3 linked regions of the Coturnix japonica genome follow. The protein of the gene in region 3 purifies or fractionates together with the protein of the main gene of each other region. This does not show direct contact. Links are inferred from orthologs where the notes say so. Each region holds a gene or a part of one and is shown on either strand. Other genes may lie near its edges. The genes, in order: AEBP2, PHF19 and EED.

Region 1 (6,212 bases), about 110 Mb from region 3:
TCTAAGTAAATACCACAGTTCAGCAATAATGCATCAGTGAGCTGCAAGCACACCCTCGCTGCATTCGTATCAGCTGATTTATACTCAAATCCACGCATACATGTAGGCCTAGTTTTGCAGCCCAGTGATGAACTCAGCTGTTTCTGTAATTAACCAAATCATTACTCTCGATTTTAAAGACATATCAAACGTTTCTCAGCATTGTAGGAAGGCGTCCTGCTCCAGAGAACTGAGCAGAAAGGCATCCATCCTTTCAACACTTATCTGAAGCTAGAGAAAGGCATAGGAAAATTACCAGCATTCACACGCTGGTATTAATCTTTATCTGGAGGATCACTCAACCTGAATGCAGATTCTTATCAGTGAGATATGAGCTCACTCAAAAGCAGTGGGCAAGCTTTAGCACAGCAGTGGGAACACAGCTCCAATCCCTGGAATAAAATGCAATGGGTATCTGCAGTCATTCCAGACTTTGCACTGAGCTCTCATTACTAATACCACTGAGCAGAAAACGCCACCTGGCTGTTCTAAATACCGGTGTGGGGTTGGCTTTTTTTGTTTCTGTTCTTGGGTCATTTTATTTTGGGGTGGGGGGGAAGGTGTGGAGAGGAATGTGACCTGTTGGAAATGCAGTACCAAGTGAACTTGCATTTAAAAACAGCTGACCAAAATTCAGCTCAAGTTTTAGGCATCAATATTCAACATCAGATTTATTTTTGGTTTTGTTTCAAATACCTACGGATTTCCTACTGTCACGCTCCAAATTATTTATTCTCTTTGATTAGCAGATCTCTCAAAACAGAATCAAAGCATTAGTATTAGAAGTAGCTGAACAGTAGTCATGTCTTGATTGCATGCAAGATTCTCATGCTCAAATGTCACATCTGCAGTTTACATCGCAGTTCGCAACGCTAAACCAAAACGAGACAGACAATACATTGAAATCAGACAACGATGATAAAGATCGTAGCAAAAGAGGAATTCGATCACTTAAGGAATTCCAGGCCTTCACCACACCCTCTTATTTATTCAAATTTGCTAAAGAGGAAACAAGAAAAAAATCCCAAGCCTCAGGGCATAATCTGAATGTTAGCAAACCTGCCTACAACAGGAGAATCGTTACGGAGTTCACCTTTTTAACACCTTCCTCTTGTTTAACCAAAGAATAAGAACTGAAGCACAGCAGATCATTTCTTCACTCAGAGGTCATTTTACCACACAACAGTCCACAAGACAAGTCGATGTCAACTTCCTTAGGTCTTCGGTGACAAAACTGGAGTCTCCATTCAGGACACAGGCAGAAAGTAGACATCAGAGTGCTGTACAAGATACTGTTTTACAGAGAACATCGCTGAGCAGATATCAATCTGTCATAGTTACATCGTGTAAATCTGACCTGCTCCCAGGTTCTCCCAGGTACTCTACCATCCCATTGTGAACACTCTTGAGGCTTTTCCATGCCTCCCCTACCACTGGCAACTGCCTGCCCAGCTGATCACCCTAAGGACGCACATCATGTTCCAGCTGGCTTCTAAGGGGCAGCAATAATTTCCACTGATAGGCCAAGGGACCTGTTGGACTACGTGTAGCATCACTGTTTTTGCTGTCTACCCCAAGGCAGCAAGGAATGTCATCAAAATGAGCTTTTCTATCACCAGAAATAACAAATGGCACTTTGCGTGGCGTGGTTCTTTTCCTACTCAACTCAAGCAGCAGGCTATGAAATTACCATACAAAATTGCTTCTCAGTATCTCTACGTTTTCAGCGTGGCCACTGAAGACAAAACCTTTGCAAGATAAAAACCAAAAACACAGTCCTAATTTAAAACTACTGAACACAAAAGGCTCCTGCAACTGACTCTGCTCCAAAGGTACTGGAAAGGAGCAACGAAGAGCACACACAGATTTGATTTGTGCCACTATAACAAGAGGAGCCTGCAAACAATGACAGAGAAAGAAACTAGTACAGCAGCTCTGAAGTGTGTGAGCAAGACGTAACGGGGCTGCACTGTCAGAAAACCCCTGTAACTGATTCCTGTTATTTCCTTAACCTACAAATTGAGACAGACTCACAAGAGATCAAGCTGCAGTGCAGAGTTTCATTTGGTAGAAAACAAGAAGTGACGACCCTAAACCTCCACCACATACCTGTTGTTTCCCCAGAAATCTACTCCCACACTTATGTGATTTCATGTAAAAATCCACGTGAAAACAGAGAGAAAGAAAGAAAAAGAAAGAAAAACTCGCCACCTTCTTATTTCACAGCAAGTCTGAAGGAACGAAAAAAATCCCCCAAGTCCTCAAGACTCAGAAGTCAGGAGGAAATGAAAAGCATGGATTTAAAATTCGTTTTTAATTTTTCCTAAGACTTTCAGACCCAGCACATGGTTTGGGGAACTGACTCACGAGGGTTTCATTTAACACGTGAGGCTGGACCTAGAAATGCCACGCTCCTGCAACACGGGCGTTTCCCCATCTACTCAAATTTAACCTAACACATCAACAAAGCATGTAACCTGGACCAAAACTGATCATCTTTACGCTCAATAGCAAAACTATCTTCAAAAAAGGAACAATTATTATTTTTGTACCAACTACCGCAAAGCCCAAGGCTTTCTTAAAGCCAAACCTAAAAAGGCAAAGAATAAAAGAAGTTTCTAAAACTATTCTGAAGCACTTAGCAGTAAAAGAACCGACAAATTCCACTCTTTTTTCCCCCCACATCCTATTTTCCATTAGGCTGTATTACATACCCCCAAGAAAACCACTAGGCAAGCCGTGCTCCTAGAAGTGCCCAACCTCTGTGCTAAACGCGACCTGGGAACTGGGCTGTGCCGTCCCTCGAGCCTCAAGCCGGCAACTACAGAAATCATCCACATTTGGCATTAAACCATTCATCCAAAAATGACTAAGTCTCACACGGCTGGGCTCGGCTTCATCCACAACACAGCTCAGCCCGGGCGAAGGGCCGTTCCCTCGCTCCTTTCAGCAAGGTGGGATTTTTCCCTTGTGTTCGGCGGTTTCCTCAGCTCGCCGCCCGCAGCACGTACACCCGCAGGTACGGAGCGACCACGGCACAGCAGGCGCGGTACGACTACGGTATCGCAGCGGCATCCCTCCGGAACCGGAGCGGCCCCAGGGCGCGGCGCGGCCGACCGCCCCCGCCCGGAGCACGCAGCCCCCCATCCGCCGGCCTGACAGCCCCGCGGCCCTCGGGCGGGGCGAGGCCCCAGGACATGGCGCCCGCGGGCCTCCCGCACCGGGCACTGACCTGTCCTCTGAGTCCATGCGGCTCAGCGGTTCCCCGTCCGAGGACATCTCCAGGCTGCCCCGCCGCCCCCCCGACGTGGCGCTGCAGCTGCTGCTGCCGCTGCTGCCGCCGCCGCCGCCGGTGCCGTAGCCCTCGTCGCCGCCGCTGGACACGCTGCTGGAGCTGCTCCCGCCGCCGCCGCCGCCGCGGCCCAGCCCGCCCTCCTGGCCGCCCCGCGGGCCCTTGGGCTCCTCCTTGGCGTCGGCCTCGCTGCTGCCGCCGGGGCTGAGCGAGCGGGTCTCGTCGCTGCAGCAGCCGCTGCTCGTGCTGCTGCTGCCCACCAGGCTGCTCTCCTCCTCCTCGCCGCCCTCCTCCTCCTCTTCCTCCTCCTCCTCCTCGTCTTCGTCCTCCCCGTCCCCGGCCTGGCTGGCGCTCTCCGGGCTGGGCTCCGACATGCTCTCCGCCTCGCCGTTCAGCAGCAGCAGCGACTCCGTCTCCGCCGCCGAGGACGGAGGCGACGACGAGGAGCCGACCCCGGCGACGACCGCAGCAACGGCCGCCGCCTCCTCCTCTTCCTCAGCCGCAGCGGCCGCCGCCTCGCCGGGAAGCAGCCCCTCCGGCTCCGCCATGTCGCTGCGAGCGGCCGCCATGGCGCCTGCGAGTCGCTGCGAGCCGAGCCGAAGCCGAACGGGGCCGAATCGAGCCGAGCCGGGCCGTGCGCGCGGCCGGTAGGCGCGTGCCCCGGTTCGTGTGTGCGCGCGGCCGCGCTCCCCCCGCCCTCGCCCCGCTCAGCCGCACAATCGCGCGGCGGCGCGAGCCGCAAAGAGGAGGGGCACGAACCGCCACCGCCGCACGCGCTACGGAACGAGCCCGGGGACAAAAAGCTTCCGCGAGGCGGAGCGCGGGACGAGGAACCGGGAACCGGGGATCGGGGGGTGCGAGGCGGCCGTTAACGCCGAACCGCCTCTGAGGCGACACTCGCGGTCACGGGGCGGCAGCGGGATCAGGGGTGAAGAGAAACGCTGAGCCAAGATGGGAGGAACGGCGTGTCTCCTCAGGGGAAGGGAGAGAGGCCCCTCCACAAGGAGTGGGTCAGAGTGTGAGTGTGCCCTGTGTGAATCGCTAAAAGAGAGAGCTGGGCTGGGACACAATGGGACAGAAGGAGGTTTTCAGTGGCACTGGCATCAGGAGAGCGTCTGAAGTGTGGCCTCACACCTCCGTTGGCTGTAAGAAGCTTCCAGGCTGTGGCGTGGCCAAGGCTGAATGCAAAACGCACGTCACTGCCCGAAGTGGAAGTAAAACCTGAGTTAAATGTGCTAAAACCGAGGCAGTTGGTTAATATTTTCCTCATAAACTCAGGCCAGGGTTTGGAGGAATGAGGGCTGCTAAATTGGCTGAGTTGGGAACGTTGCCATCTGAAGAAGAATAGATGGGGAAGAGAGAAAGATGAGCAGAACGACCACCAATCACATACGAGACTTCAGAAAAAACTATTAAATTAATAATGACAATTAAAGTCATTTTAATATTGGAAGAAAAGGGGATGAAGTTTACTCGAGGCAGATCGTGCTTTATTTTGCCTTGTCTGTACGGACATGGAGAATACCTTCAGTGAACTGTCACATGGAAATGATCAGCAATCCGTGTGGGATGGGGATTTTCCATAGAACAGGGAAGTACCCACCTCATAGAATCACAGAATGACCCGGGTTGGAAGGGACCTCAAGGATCATGTAGTTCCACCTCCCAGACATGGAGATGAAATTTTTTACTGAACTTGCCAAATTTAATAAGAAAAAAATCGTGAACTGGGGATGGTTTGGCTTATGAGCGGATGACAAAACTAAACCACAGCTCAGTCCAGAAAGACTTTGTTCTCTGTGCAACAGGAAGACTACCACCTCCTCAAGTCATAGCAGGCTCATCTAGCGTTGCCACAGAGGAACAGGAAAAGTTAGCCACAGAGGATTAAAATCTGGGGAGGGTGCTCCTGAGCCCTACATCAGCACAAGCAGGGCTGGCTGCCCGCCCATCAATCTGCACGCATGTATCTGTTCGCAGCAACACCAGCAGCCTGCAGTGAGCGATGCCAGCACAGAATGCCACAGTGCTGCGGGAGCACCGCAGCCTTGGAGCAAAGGGATGTGACGTTGCACTCGTCTTTGAGAGCAAACAAATGACATCTTTAACCTGCAGAGGAGCATAAGCCGATCTGTGAGGCAAACAGCAGTAAAAATGCTCGATAGCTTTCCAGATTTCTCAAAACAAGCCTCAGCTACACACTAGAAATGGCAGGAATACTGTAAAACACACGAGGACGGCTGTAAAGCTGCTTCATCCGCATAGTGTAAGCATCGCTGCTCTACTGACTCCATCGAAACAATCATCGAACCCTGAGCTTCTACATCCTCTGCCTCCTCCCTTCCCCCAGCCCCCCCGAAGGAACGGCGTGCTCTGTACTTCCCTCTCAGCCTATAAAGGTGTGGCACTCCCGTGGGTGTTACTGTCACTAATCTCATCAGGCACGAAGAGCGAGGTATAAAAAAAAACACACAAAAACAACCTTTCGATTCAGAAAGAAGGCAGCAGTATCTGAAGCAAATCGCTGTGCTGCCTCTTCTGCAACTGATTTCCCTCTGGAGTTTACTGAAATCGGTTGTAGCGAGGGGCAGAATCAGAAAGGGACCGAATCACTAGAAAACAAAGATCTAAACGGATCGAAGTGAAAGGCACCTTTCACAACCTGAGAACGAGCAAAGAAAGGCAGGAGGAAACGTATCTCAAAGAACTCCGTGCTCCCCAGTGTGTGTTGTCCGAATTCATCCCACCGTGTTCACAAGCCCGTAGCTCTGTGCTTTCTTCGGAACTCTCGGGTTCTTTGAGGTCATGTGCGCTCACCGGGTTCCCAGTGTCTGTCCGCCGAGAGGTGACGGGGATGCAGACACTTCTCACTTCCCTAAGT
Region 2 (4,041 bases), on a different chromosome or scaffold from region 3:
GGGTCAGCTCCGTGTTTGGGTTTCCATTCACTATTCCTTGCCTCTGATGATGAGCCAACTCACAACCCCTCCTCCCGATCCTGTTTGCAAAGGAAATAAAGTGTGGGGAAAAGCTCCTGCCAGAGCTCCATTGGAAGGACAGCGTGGGAGCCCTCAGCTCCCTGCTCCATGGGCACAGGCTGTGGGGAGAGGCCTTGGGGGCAGCGTGGGGCTGTGGGACAATGTGCTACAGAGGTTTTGTGCAAACCACTTTGCAGGGGCTGCATCAGAAATGCAATGACAGTGAAGGAACCCCGTGGTCAGCGCTGTTCAAACAAGCCCAGAGGGCACTGCCACTGTGGGGTGCTCCCATCAGTGACATTGTCCCCACTCATTAGCAGTGTTTGGGCATCACCCAGTGCCCGGCTGACCTCTCACATCACCCACACCTCCATGGCCAACGATCCGGGGGCTGCACTCACAACCACAATGGTTGAGGAGGAGCACGGAGAGCACTGCTGTCCCAGCACCACAACCTCATGCCCAGACCGGCTGCCTGTGAGCCAGAGCAGAGCTGCAAAGTGCAGCAGTGTTTGCCCACAAGCAAAGTTCTGGTTCAGGAGTTATTTTAATCCCGTGGTGACTCACGGCTGCACACGGTGACTCACCGCAGGGCTCCGCCGTGGGGCGCCTGGAAGATGTGTCAGGTTCTCTGTGCAGGATGGGGCTGCAGGCAGCAGGAAGGAGCTGTCAGGTTTTGGCTGCCTATGGGCTCTGCTAACATGGCCTGAACACGGGGAGCTGGGAGGAGGCACAGCACGGCTCAGCACGGCATGGCACGGCACAATATGGCACTGCACAGCACAGCGTGGTGCTGCATGGTCTCTGACCCCTACAACGGCAACCCAAGACTATTTGGACCATTCCTTTTGATTATTTGGATCTCTCAGGAAATCCCACGCAGGGTTTTGGGTGCTGTGCTGCACGTGCTGCATTTGCCGTTGTCACGGCTGCCGGAGCGCTCCCATCCAGGAGCTTTGAAATGCAATGAATCACCCCAAAATGCAATGAATCACCCCAAAATGCAATGAATCACCCCAAAATGCAATGAATCACCCTGAAACCCGCACTTTGCCCTCCCCGCTCCCCGCTCTCACTCCCCGCAGAGGCAGTCGGCGGCCCCACGTGTTTCTCGAGCCCGTGCAAAGCCGCCCGCAGCGCAGCGCGATGCCAGCGGTTCTGGGAGGCTCCGCTTTGCAAAAGGGAACGACGACGAAACTCGTCCGAAGAGCTCAGAGCCCCGCTGCTGCCTCCGAGAGGTGACTTCAACACCGATGCTCCTGGAGCGGCTCCACTCGCTCCGCTGCCCCGCAGGTGCGCGACGATCGTCGGTTGCGGGGAAGCGCTGAGCGGGGCGACGGGACGAGCAGGGAGCGCTGAGCTCCGACCCCGAGCAGGCCTGGAAACGGCTCTTTATTTTGGCAGCGCTCTTCGCAAATAACCAACCCCGTTTCCTCCTGCTCGGCGCCGCCCGCAGCGCTTCGTGCACCGACGGATTTGGGTGGTTGGTTGTTGGATTTGTTTTTTTTTTTCTCTTTGGATTCGGAGAAAAACGATCCCACGTTCCCGGAATCCCGGAGAGCGGCAGCACGGGCCGTTCCTTGGCGCGGGGCCGGGCGGCGTCTGGGGCATCCCGGGATGCTCCGTGCCGTTCCGAGCCGTTCCGAGCCGTTCCGTGCCGCTCCGCTCGGAGCTCCGGGAGGCGGCCCCGCTCTAATTGCATAAGCGGGACGTCAATGCCCGCGGGAAGAGCGGGAAGATGGCGCCCCGCGCCCTGCCCCCGCCGCGCTCCGCCGCGCCCCGCTGCTGCCCCGGCGGCCCCCGAGCGGGCGGGCGCTGAGCCGGCCCCGTTGTCGGCAGAGCGGCGGAGGAGCGGCACCGAGCGGTGAGCGCGGCTCGAGCGGCCGGGGGGCGGCGGGGCCGGGCGGGACGGAACGAGGACGGGACGGAGCGGCGCCGCAGCGCCTTTGAATGAACCAATGGCGGAGGGTCTCAGGGCTGCGGGGCCGCTCCCGCCCGGCAGGTGCCGCCGCTCCCGGTGTCGGTGTCGGTGAGGTCCCGGGGCGGCTCTGCGGGCTGCGGGTTCCCGGAGCGCTCCCCGCTGCGCTGCTCGTCACCTCCCGGCGCGGCGGCGCTGAGCTCCGTGCGGTGCCGCGCGGTTCTGCCCGGTGCGGTCGGTTCCGTCCGGTACGGCGCTGTCCCGGAGTTGGGCGGCGGCCCCGCGGGGCTCATCCCGGGCAGCGCGGCGGTACGAGCGGCGCTCGGATCGCTTCGACCCCGCACGGAGCCCCGAGGGGGGAAAGTGCCGTCGGGGCGGTGCTGTCAGCAGCCGGGGCTCCGTCCCGCGCTCGGAGCACGCAGCAGCGGCGAAACGCGGCCGCTCGGTTTCACCCGCTTCTGCCCGCGCCGCTCCCCGCTCCCCCAGCGCTCCCGATGGCAAAAACGCGGAAGGAAACGGACAACTCGACTTGGCGATCGATTTAAAGCTGCCGATGCCGAGAGCGTCCGGGCCAACCCCGTACCTACGGAGCGGGCGCCTCGCTCGGCCCGAGGGCGCATCGCGCTGCTGCTGATGGGCGACCGGCTCCGTCCCCGCAGGTTCTGCTGATGGAGAACGGGACGCTGAGCTCCATCACCCGGGACGTGCACGGAGCCGCCGGGCGCAGGGGCGGCAGCTGCAGGGAGCTGAGCGAGGGGCAGTACGTGCTGTGCCGCTGGACCGATGGGCTGTACTACCTGGGGAAGATCAAAAGGGTAAAGGGGGCATCCGGAAGGGTAAATGGGCATCCAAAAGGGTAAGAAGGAATCCAGATGGCTAAGGTGGGCATCTAGAAGGGTAAAGTTGGCACAAAGAAGGGTAAAGAGGGAATTCAGAAGGGTAAGAGGGCATCCAAAGTGCACCTGGTGCAGGTGCTGTTCCCTGGGTCAGCTCACAGCATGCTGGTCTGTGCCTTGAAGTGACTGTGGTCTTTGGAGTGATGGGGATTGATGTCTTAGCTGGGTATCCACCCTGAAACCCACCTTCCAGCAGCTCTGAGAGATGGGGAAAATGGCACCAGGGAAAGAGGAGAGTGCAGGCAGTAGGAGCAGTCATTCATTGGTTCTTTGTGCTGTGTCCCTGCAGGTGAGCGGCTCCAAGCAGAGCTGCCTGGTGACGTTTGAGGACAACTCCAAGTACTGGGTCCTCTGGAAGGACATCCAGCATGGTGAGTGCCAGCCCGTCGTGCCCTGCTTGCTGCTCCCTGGGAGCCCATGTGCCACGGGCAGCACTGTGGGGCCATCACTGCTTTCTCCATCCTCAAGCCGGCGTCCCTGGGGAGGAACCCAAGTGCAGCATTTGCCTGGGAAAGACATCAGGGCCCAGGAATGAAATCCTCATCTGTGGGAAGTGCGGCCTGGGTGAGTGCAGACACAGGGCTCCGTGTCCTGCTGCGTCCTGCTTGTGTCCAGCCAGCTCGGTGATGCTGACCCTGAGCTGTCCCATAGGTTACCATCAGCAGTGCCATGTCCCAGTGGCAAGTAGCAGTGAGGGCCCGCTGGGGACACCTTGGTTCTGCCGCCGCTGCATCTTTGCCCTGGCTGTGCGGGTGAGTGGGGCTGTGGGGTGCTGCGATATGGGCTGTGGTCTCAGTGCTGACCCTGTCCGGCTGGCTCCCACAGAAGGGGGGTGCCCTGAAGAAGGGAGCTATTGCCAGGACACTTCAAGCCGTCAAGATGGTGCTGTCCTACAACCCCGACCTGCTGGAGTGGGACTCTCCGCACCGCACCAACCAACAGCAGTGCTACTGCTACTGCGGGGGTCCTGGCGAGTAAGCAGTGCCTTGCTGAGGGGCTGTTCTGTCCTGTTTTATGGGTGATTTTCTTCCAAGAGAGAGTCTCTGCTTGCAGGGTCATTCTCTGGGGCTGGTGGCTCTGCTGCCTGCTCTGTCCTGCACTGTCTGCATGCAGCTCCTTGCCAAGGAGGGCTCATTCCTGGCTGGGGCGGCTCACACTGCCCTCCCT
Region 3 (6,280 bases):
CGGTGCATTAGGAGTGTTTGTTGGGGTATCGGGGCGTTCCGTGTTAGTTCCACTTTCAATACTAACAGCATCATCCTGAAAACATTCCAATTACACAGATTGAAATGAAGATGTAATTAACTGATAGATAAAATCATCAGCTAACTGCAGCACTTGGCCCTTTCACTTTCCTCTTCCTCCTCCACAAGAACAAAAGATCCCCCAGGACTTGATTTTTATTTAGCTTCACATACTTAAACCTGTTACTAACATAATAGCATTTCTCCCTGGAAACAGAACATGAGTCACACAAGGACTAACCCAAAAGGGTCATATGTGAACTGTGATACAGTGAAACTTCTTTGGAATACAGGAAGCTCTTCTTAAGAAATATCTGAATACAAAGTAATTGCCTTCCTAGAAAGTATCTTTGACATACACGGAATGAATACTTCTGAACTAATGAATCAAGACAATGTTTGTTTAAAAACATATTTACCCATGTCAGGAATCTAACCTCTCTTGAAGTCCTCTGTAGGCCCTCAGCAGCATCAGGAATAGCACAGTTCTGCAATAAGTCAGCAGTGCCACTGGAAGAGGAACTTTCACCCCTTCCTCCCACTCTTTCTAACTGATTCTCATCTCCAGTAGTGCAAGACAGGTTTGGGAACCATAATATAAGGACACAAAACTATTAGGAGGGCTATGGGGAGTAAACCCACAGGAAAACGTTCAGCTTATTAAATTAACTAACTTTTTCTCCCAACAAACTCATTTCACAGCCACATGATGACAAGACCCAAATTTGGGGAGACAGAGGCAGACAACAAACAGCCTGTCATTGCAAGACATGAAGTATAACAGGAAGCTGCATCACAAACTCCGCTAGGAATATGGACTAAGGTCAGTCATTTCCTTCATACCGCATCCTAGCAAAGCTAACTTCCCCCTAATAAGCATAACCAGGTTTTGCAATCTTTACATTTAGCTATTTCTTTTCCTTTACCCTAAGCAGTTTCAGAGCCTGCCAAACACTGGTCTCCTAAGAGCACTTGCTGTCAAGAGTCATAATACTTCACAGAACTGAAGCTTCCTCTGGACTAATCAGATGCAGTCAATACAAGAACACATTATATTGGTATAACAAAATACAACCACGTAACTACAACTAAAACATGACCAACAAACATGCCTTCAGGATACCTGTGGAGTACCTGGGGAGGTGCTGGCACTGCTGCCCAGAGAAGCTGTGGATGCCCCATCCTTGGAGGTGATCAAGGCGAGGCTGGATGGGGCTCTGGGCAGCCTGATCTAGAGCATGATTTAGTGGTTGGCAACCCTGACCATGGCAGAAGGGTTGGAACAAGATGATTTTGAGGGCCCTTCCTACCTAACTACTCTATGATTCCATGAAAAAAGAGACTTCTTGCAAATCAACACTGTTACGTCCACTTTTAAGGAGAATCCAGGCCTTTCAGGAGCAACAAAGCTCATAACAAAGTTTTAGAAGGAGACTTTCCACCTTTGAGACAGCCTATAACAGACACCAAAGCAAACCTGAGAGCCTCTGTCACCACATCACACCCAGATTCACAAATCATTAAGGATTGTTCAGCCTGGAGAAGAGGAGGCTCAAGGGAGACCTTATAGCTCTCTGTAACTTCCTGAAGGGAGGCTGCAGTGAGCTGGGGGTTGGCCTCTTCTCTCATGTAATCGGTGATAGAACTAGAGGGAATGGTTTTAAGCTGCGTCAGGGGAGAATCAGGCTGGACATTAGGAAGTATTACTTTTCAGAAAGAGTAGTCAGGCATTGGAATGCACTGCCCAGGGAGGTGGTGGAGTCACCGACCATGGGAGTGTTCAAGAAACGCTTGGATGTGGTGCTGAGGAATATGATTTAGCCTGGAAGTATTGGTAATGGTTGGACTAGATGATCTTCTAGGTCTTTTCCAACCTTGATAATTCTGTGATTCTGTTAGAAAAATCATTTAAGATCATCTAGTTCAACTATCAACCCACCACCACCATGCCCACTAACCACATCCTTCGGTGCCGCATCTACTCTTTTTGAAAACCTTGAGGGACAGTGACTCCATGACCTCCTTGGGCAGCCTGTGCCAAACACCGAAACAATCCCTAACACACAGTTACCACACAGCCCCTCCTTCCTTCTCTATCCCTTCCGATGACCTTAATGTTCTGCAGAAGCTGAATGACAAACGTGTGGCCTGCATGTCCAGTGATGTTCAGTGAATAAGGCCCAGCAGCAGTGGCACGCAGCACCTCAACAGCAGCTGCTCTTGCACAGGTTATGGGCAATGTGCTCCAACGCCCATACTGAGTGCTCTAACCAAGAAAGACACCATGCAGAACTCCTATGTCATTAACTCCCCCAGTTCACCAACTGCATAAACCGACTACCAGATTGCTCAGACGATCACACAGAATCACAGAATTGTAGGGGTTGGAAGGAAACTCTAGAGATCATCGAGTCCAACCCCTCTGCCAAAGCAGGCTCCCTACACCATGTCACACAGGTAGGCATCCAGGCGCGTCTTAAATATCTCCAGAGAAGGAGACTCCACCACCTCCCTGGGCAGCCTGTTCCAGTGCTCCGTCACCCTCACTGTAAAGAAGTTCTTGCGCACATTCATGCGGAACTTCCTATGCTGTACTTTCATACCATTACCCCTAGTCCTATCCCCACGCACTGCTGAAAAGAGACCAGACTCACCACTATGGCTCCCACACCTCAGGTATTTATAAACCTGGATCAAATCCCCTCTCAGCCTTTGTTTCTCAAGGCTAAACAGACCCAGTTCCCTATGTCTCTCCTCATAGGGGAGATGCTCCAGGCCCTTCACCATCTTAGTGGCCCTCCGCTGGACTCTTTCCAAGAGTTCCCTGTCTTTTTTGTACTGGGGAGCCCAGAACTGGACATAATATTCCAGATGAGGCCTCACCAGGGCAGAGTAGAGGGAGAGGATCACCTCCTTCGACCTGCTGGACACGCTCTTTTTAATACACCCCAGTATGCCATTGGCTTTTTTGGCTACAAGGGCACACTGTTGGCTCATGCTCAATCTGTCGTCCACCAGGACGCCCAGGTCCCTCTCAGCAGAGCTCCTCTCCAGCAGGTCTTCCCCCAGCCTGTACTGGTGCATGCAATTATTTCTACCCAAGTGCTAGACTCTACACTTACTTTTGTTAAACCTCATCCGGTTTCTTACTGCCCAGCTCTCCAGCCTGTCCAGGTCTCGCTGAATGGCAGCACAGCCTTCAGGCGTGTCAGCCAATCCTCCCAACTTCGTGTCATCAGCAAACTTGCTGAGGGTGGTCACTATCCCCTCATCAAGGTCGCTGATGAAGATGTTGAACAAGACCAGACTCAGTACAGACCCAAATCAGTTGATCTTTTCAGCTGTTAAGTTACTTGGAATCAATCTCACGACCTTTGGTTTAAATACTCTGATTTAGTGCAGTTGAGAGGTAACAGCCTTCATCCCTTACAGCCAATTCCTGCTGACAGCAACTTATGAGCACACAAGTGCATGGAACCTGCTTTAGCAGAGGGGTCGGACTGGATGGTTTCCAAAGGATCCTTCCAACCCCTACAACGTTGTGATTCCCCCCTATTCCTTCATTTCCCCAAAACTCTGTGTGCACAAATTAACACCGAGCAACGTGTTAATGAACACCCCACACCGAGGCAGCGATGAAAAACGACAGATATACCTAAAATACAGATTTTTGCTCGCTACATCGCAATAAAAACCACTTAAAAAGTGACATTGAAAACCGCTCACACCTCAGGGCCTCCAATTCTCCCTCACGCACGCGGGGTAAAGCGCGGCCCCTCTGCCTCATGCTCCCGCCTCGCCACCGCCACCTTCCCGCTTACACCCCAACTCAGCCTCACGTTCTCATCTCCAGACAGATCCCCGGGGTTGCTGTTCTCATCGCTGCTCAGCTTTTGCTTCTTAGCCGGCATCTCTCCCGTCGATGCAGCCGCCGCCGCCGGGGTTTCTCCCCGCTCAGACATCTTCCCCGCCCACCGCCCACCGCCCACCGCCACGCAGCCGTAAAGCGCGGCAGGGGGGGCGTCGCAATGCTTTGCCGTAAAGCAGCACCGCGCTTGGCTGCCCCTCAGCTGCCACACTGCTGAAAAATCCGCCTTCCCGCGTCGCGCGGGCGGTGTCGCCCATCTATTAACTCAACTATTAATTACTCTTATTATTATTATTATTTATAATCGAATGTATGAACATAATAAAGCATAATGACACTTTATACCGTTATCTGTGGCCTGGACCAGCACTTTCGAGCACGTTCGTGGCATATAAAGTAGCCCGAGGTTCTGGTTACCACAGCTCCTGTGTCCTGTGAGGAGCACAAAGTTCCTCATCCACAAAGTCGTTTTTGGTTCTTTTGCTCTCCAAAATGCTCTATAGAGAAATGAGGTGTCTGTTCCCTGCCCTGTCACCCAGGCAGGGCTGGAATGAGGGGGAAAAAAAAGTACTTTCATCTAAAAAATGCTGTTGGGAGAGAAGAAAAAATGGCCTGTTTCAATGCCCCATGGCAAGTTCCTACCACTTGCAGATTGTAAATTAAATACTGCAGTTGCCAGATGATGATTTATTTCTTTATTTATTTTCCTAAAATCACATGTCCCAGAGTCATAATAATAACGAACAGTGGAAAAACAAACAAAAAACAAACAAAAATAAACCAAAAAATAAACAAAAAAATAAAAACAAAAACAAAACCTATATATAAACATATATATATATATATGTATGTATGTATATATATATATCTGATAAATAGGGGAAGTAATCTGCCCGCAGGCACAGTGCCTTATCTGCTTCTCTCAGAGAAGAAAAACCAAAGCTTTCCTCCCTGGAGGAGGCATTCCAGCCTTGCAAAGTGATTTCTTGGAGGGCAGTGACAGAAGTGAACCTTGCCTTTGTATCTACAATTTAATCTGGCATGAACTTCAGAGATAAGGGGGAGGAGAGGTGCTTAAGCTGGTGTGTGTACTGTAGTGTTTTTAGCAATAGTCCCTCCTGTAGGCTCCACTGGTGCAGTGTATAATACAGACCAAAAGGCTGTAGATCACAATTAATAAAAGCTCTGGGAACTTGCAGCTGCCCAAATTCATGCACTAAGATCAAGGCTGTGATAAAAGCGTTTTACACCTTTGTGAGGACATACACGGAGAATGAACTGACTTGTTCTTAAAATATGACGGGATATTTTTAGATTGGCATCTTAATTAAGACTAAATCACGACTGTGATTTAGAAATGAAGGGCGGGCACGGAGTTTTCAGCAGTGAGTGTTCTTAACTTCTCATCACGGATGACCTTGAGCTAATGGAGAGAAGACAGCTCCCCTTCATTTTGCAGCTGTCACCTGACATCCTCCAGATGGCCAGCTACACATTCAGCTCCTCCACGTTTCACTAGCTCATCCCAAACACAAGGAAAGTGAGGGCCCCAGTCAGGCTGTGCTTCTTGGCCTGCACACAGGAAGATTTCCCACCCACACCAGAATCAGTCAGCAAAACCCTTCAGTCTCCATCATCAACTTGCTGGGCCAAACTGGTCTTTGCCTTCCCTTGTTTGATTTTCTGGAGGACTTCTTTCTCAACATGACAGACCTCATGCTCCCTCTGTCTAGTTCTTAGTCCAAACCACTTGCCTTTCCAATTTCAGAAGATATGAAGGGCCAGTACACCAGGGAAGATGAGTTTCCAACAGTCATAGTACACTTCATCCAGCTTCTATTTAAAGAATTGGTTTGTGGTTAAATACTGGCTTGAAAGCTCAGAGGGTTGGCTTCAGTTTGTGCTCTGATGAAGTTCATAAGACAAGAAAAGCCCCCCTTTAGATACTGAAAGCCCACTCTCAGATCTCCCTGGAGCCTTCTTTCTCCAGGCTGAACTGCCCAGCTCTCTCAGCCTGTCCTCATAGGAGAGGTGTTCTATCCCTTGGATCATTTTTGTGCCCCTCCTCTGGATGCGCTACAACAGCTCCATGACTCTCCTGTACTGAGGATTCCACATCTGGACACAGTACTCCAGGTGAGGTCTCACCGGCACAGAGCAGAGGGTCAGGATCATCTCCCTTATCCTACTGGCCCCATTTCTTTTGATGCAGCCCAGGATACAGTTGGCTTTCTGGGCTGTAAGGGTAGATTGCTAGCTCATGTCCAGCTTGCCATCCATCAGAACCCCCAAGGGCTTATTGGCATGGCTGTGCTCTGTCCCTACATCTCCCAGTTTATGCTGATAGTGGAGG

The links.
Region 1: the proteins of EED (region 3) and AEBP2 purify together in Homo sapiens (affinity purification with mass spectrometry; 6 studies listed by BioGRID and IntAct, counting the BioPlex papers as one, with this or other methods). This does not show direct contact. The link is inferred for Coturnix japonica from reciprocal best matches to the Homo sapiens genes EED and AEBP2.
Region 2: the proteins of EED (region 3) and PHF19 purify together in Homo sapiens (affinity purification with mass spectrometry; 8 studies listed by BioGRID and IntAct, counting the BioPlex papers as one, with this or other methods). This does not show direct contact. The link is inferred for Coturnix japonica from reciprocal best matches to the Homo sapiens genes EED and PHF19.

Annotation. Positions count from the first base shown.
Region 1 is NC_029516.1:59,163,220-59,169,431, reverse strand, and holds the start of AEBP2 (zinc finger protein AEBP2), read right to left. Parts: upstream 4,047-6,212; 5' UTR 3,901-4,046; coding exon 3,272-3,900; intron 1-3,271. UniProt on the Homo sapiens protein: Acts as an accessory subunit for the core Polycomb repressive complex 2 (PRC2), which mediates histone H3K27 (H3K27me3) trimethylation on chromatin leading to transcriptional repression of the affected target gene.
Region 2 is NC_029532.1:6,771,709-6,775,749, reverse strand, and holds the start of PHF19 (PHD finger protein 19), read left to right. Parts: upstream 1-1,241; 5' UTR 1,242-1,353; intron 1,354-1,805; exon of another isoform or gene 1,806-1,924; intron 1,925-1,942; exon of another isoform or gene 1,943-2,637; 5' UTR 2,638-2,646; coding exon 2,647-2,793; intron 2,794-3,163; coding exon 3,164-3,245; intron 3,246-3,342; coding exon 3,343-3,438; intron 3,439-3,525; coding exon 3,526-3,626; intron 3,627-3,699; coding exon 3,700-3,848; intron 3,849-4,041.
Region 3 is NC_029516.1:170,393,710-170,399,989, reverse strand, and holds the start of EED (polycomb protein EED), read right to left. Parts: upstream 4,046-6,280; 5' UTR 4,022-4,045; coding exon 3,899-4,021; intron 76-3,898; coding exon 1-75. UniProt on the Homo sapiens protein: Polycomb group (PcG) protein. Component of the PRC2/EED-EZH2 complex, which methylates 'Lys-9' and 'Lys-27' of histone H3, leading to transcriptional repression of the affected target gene.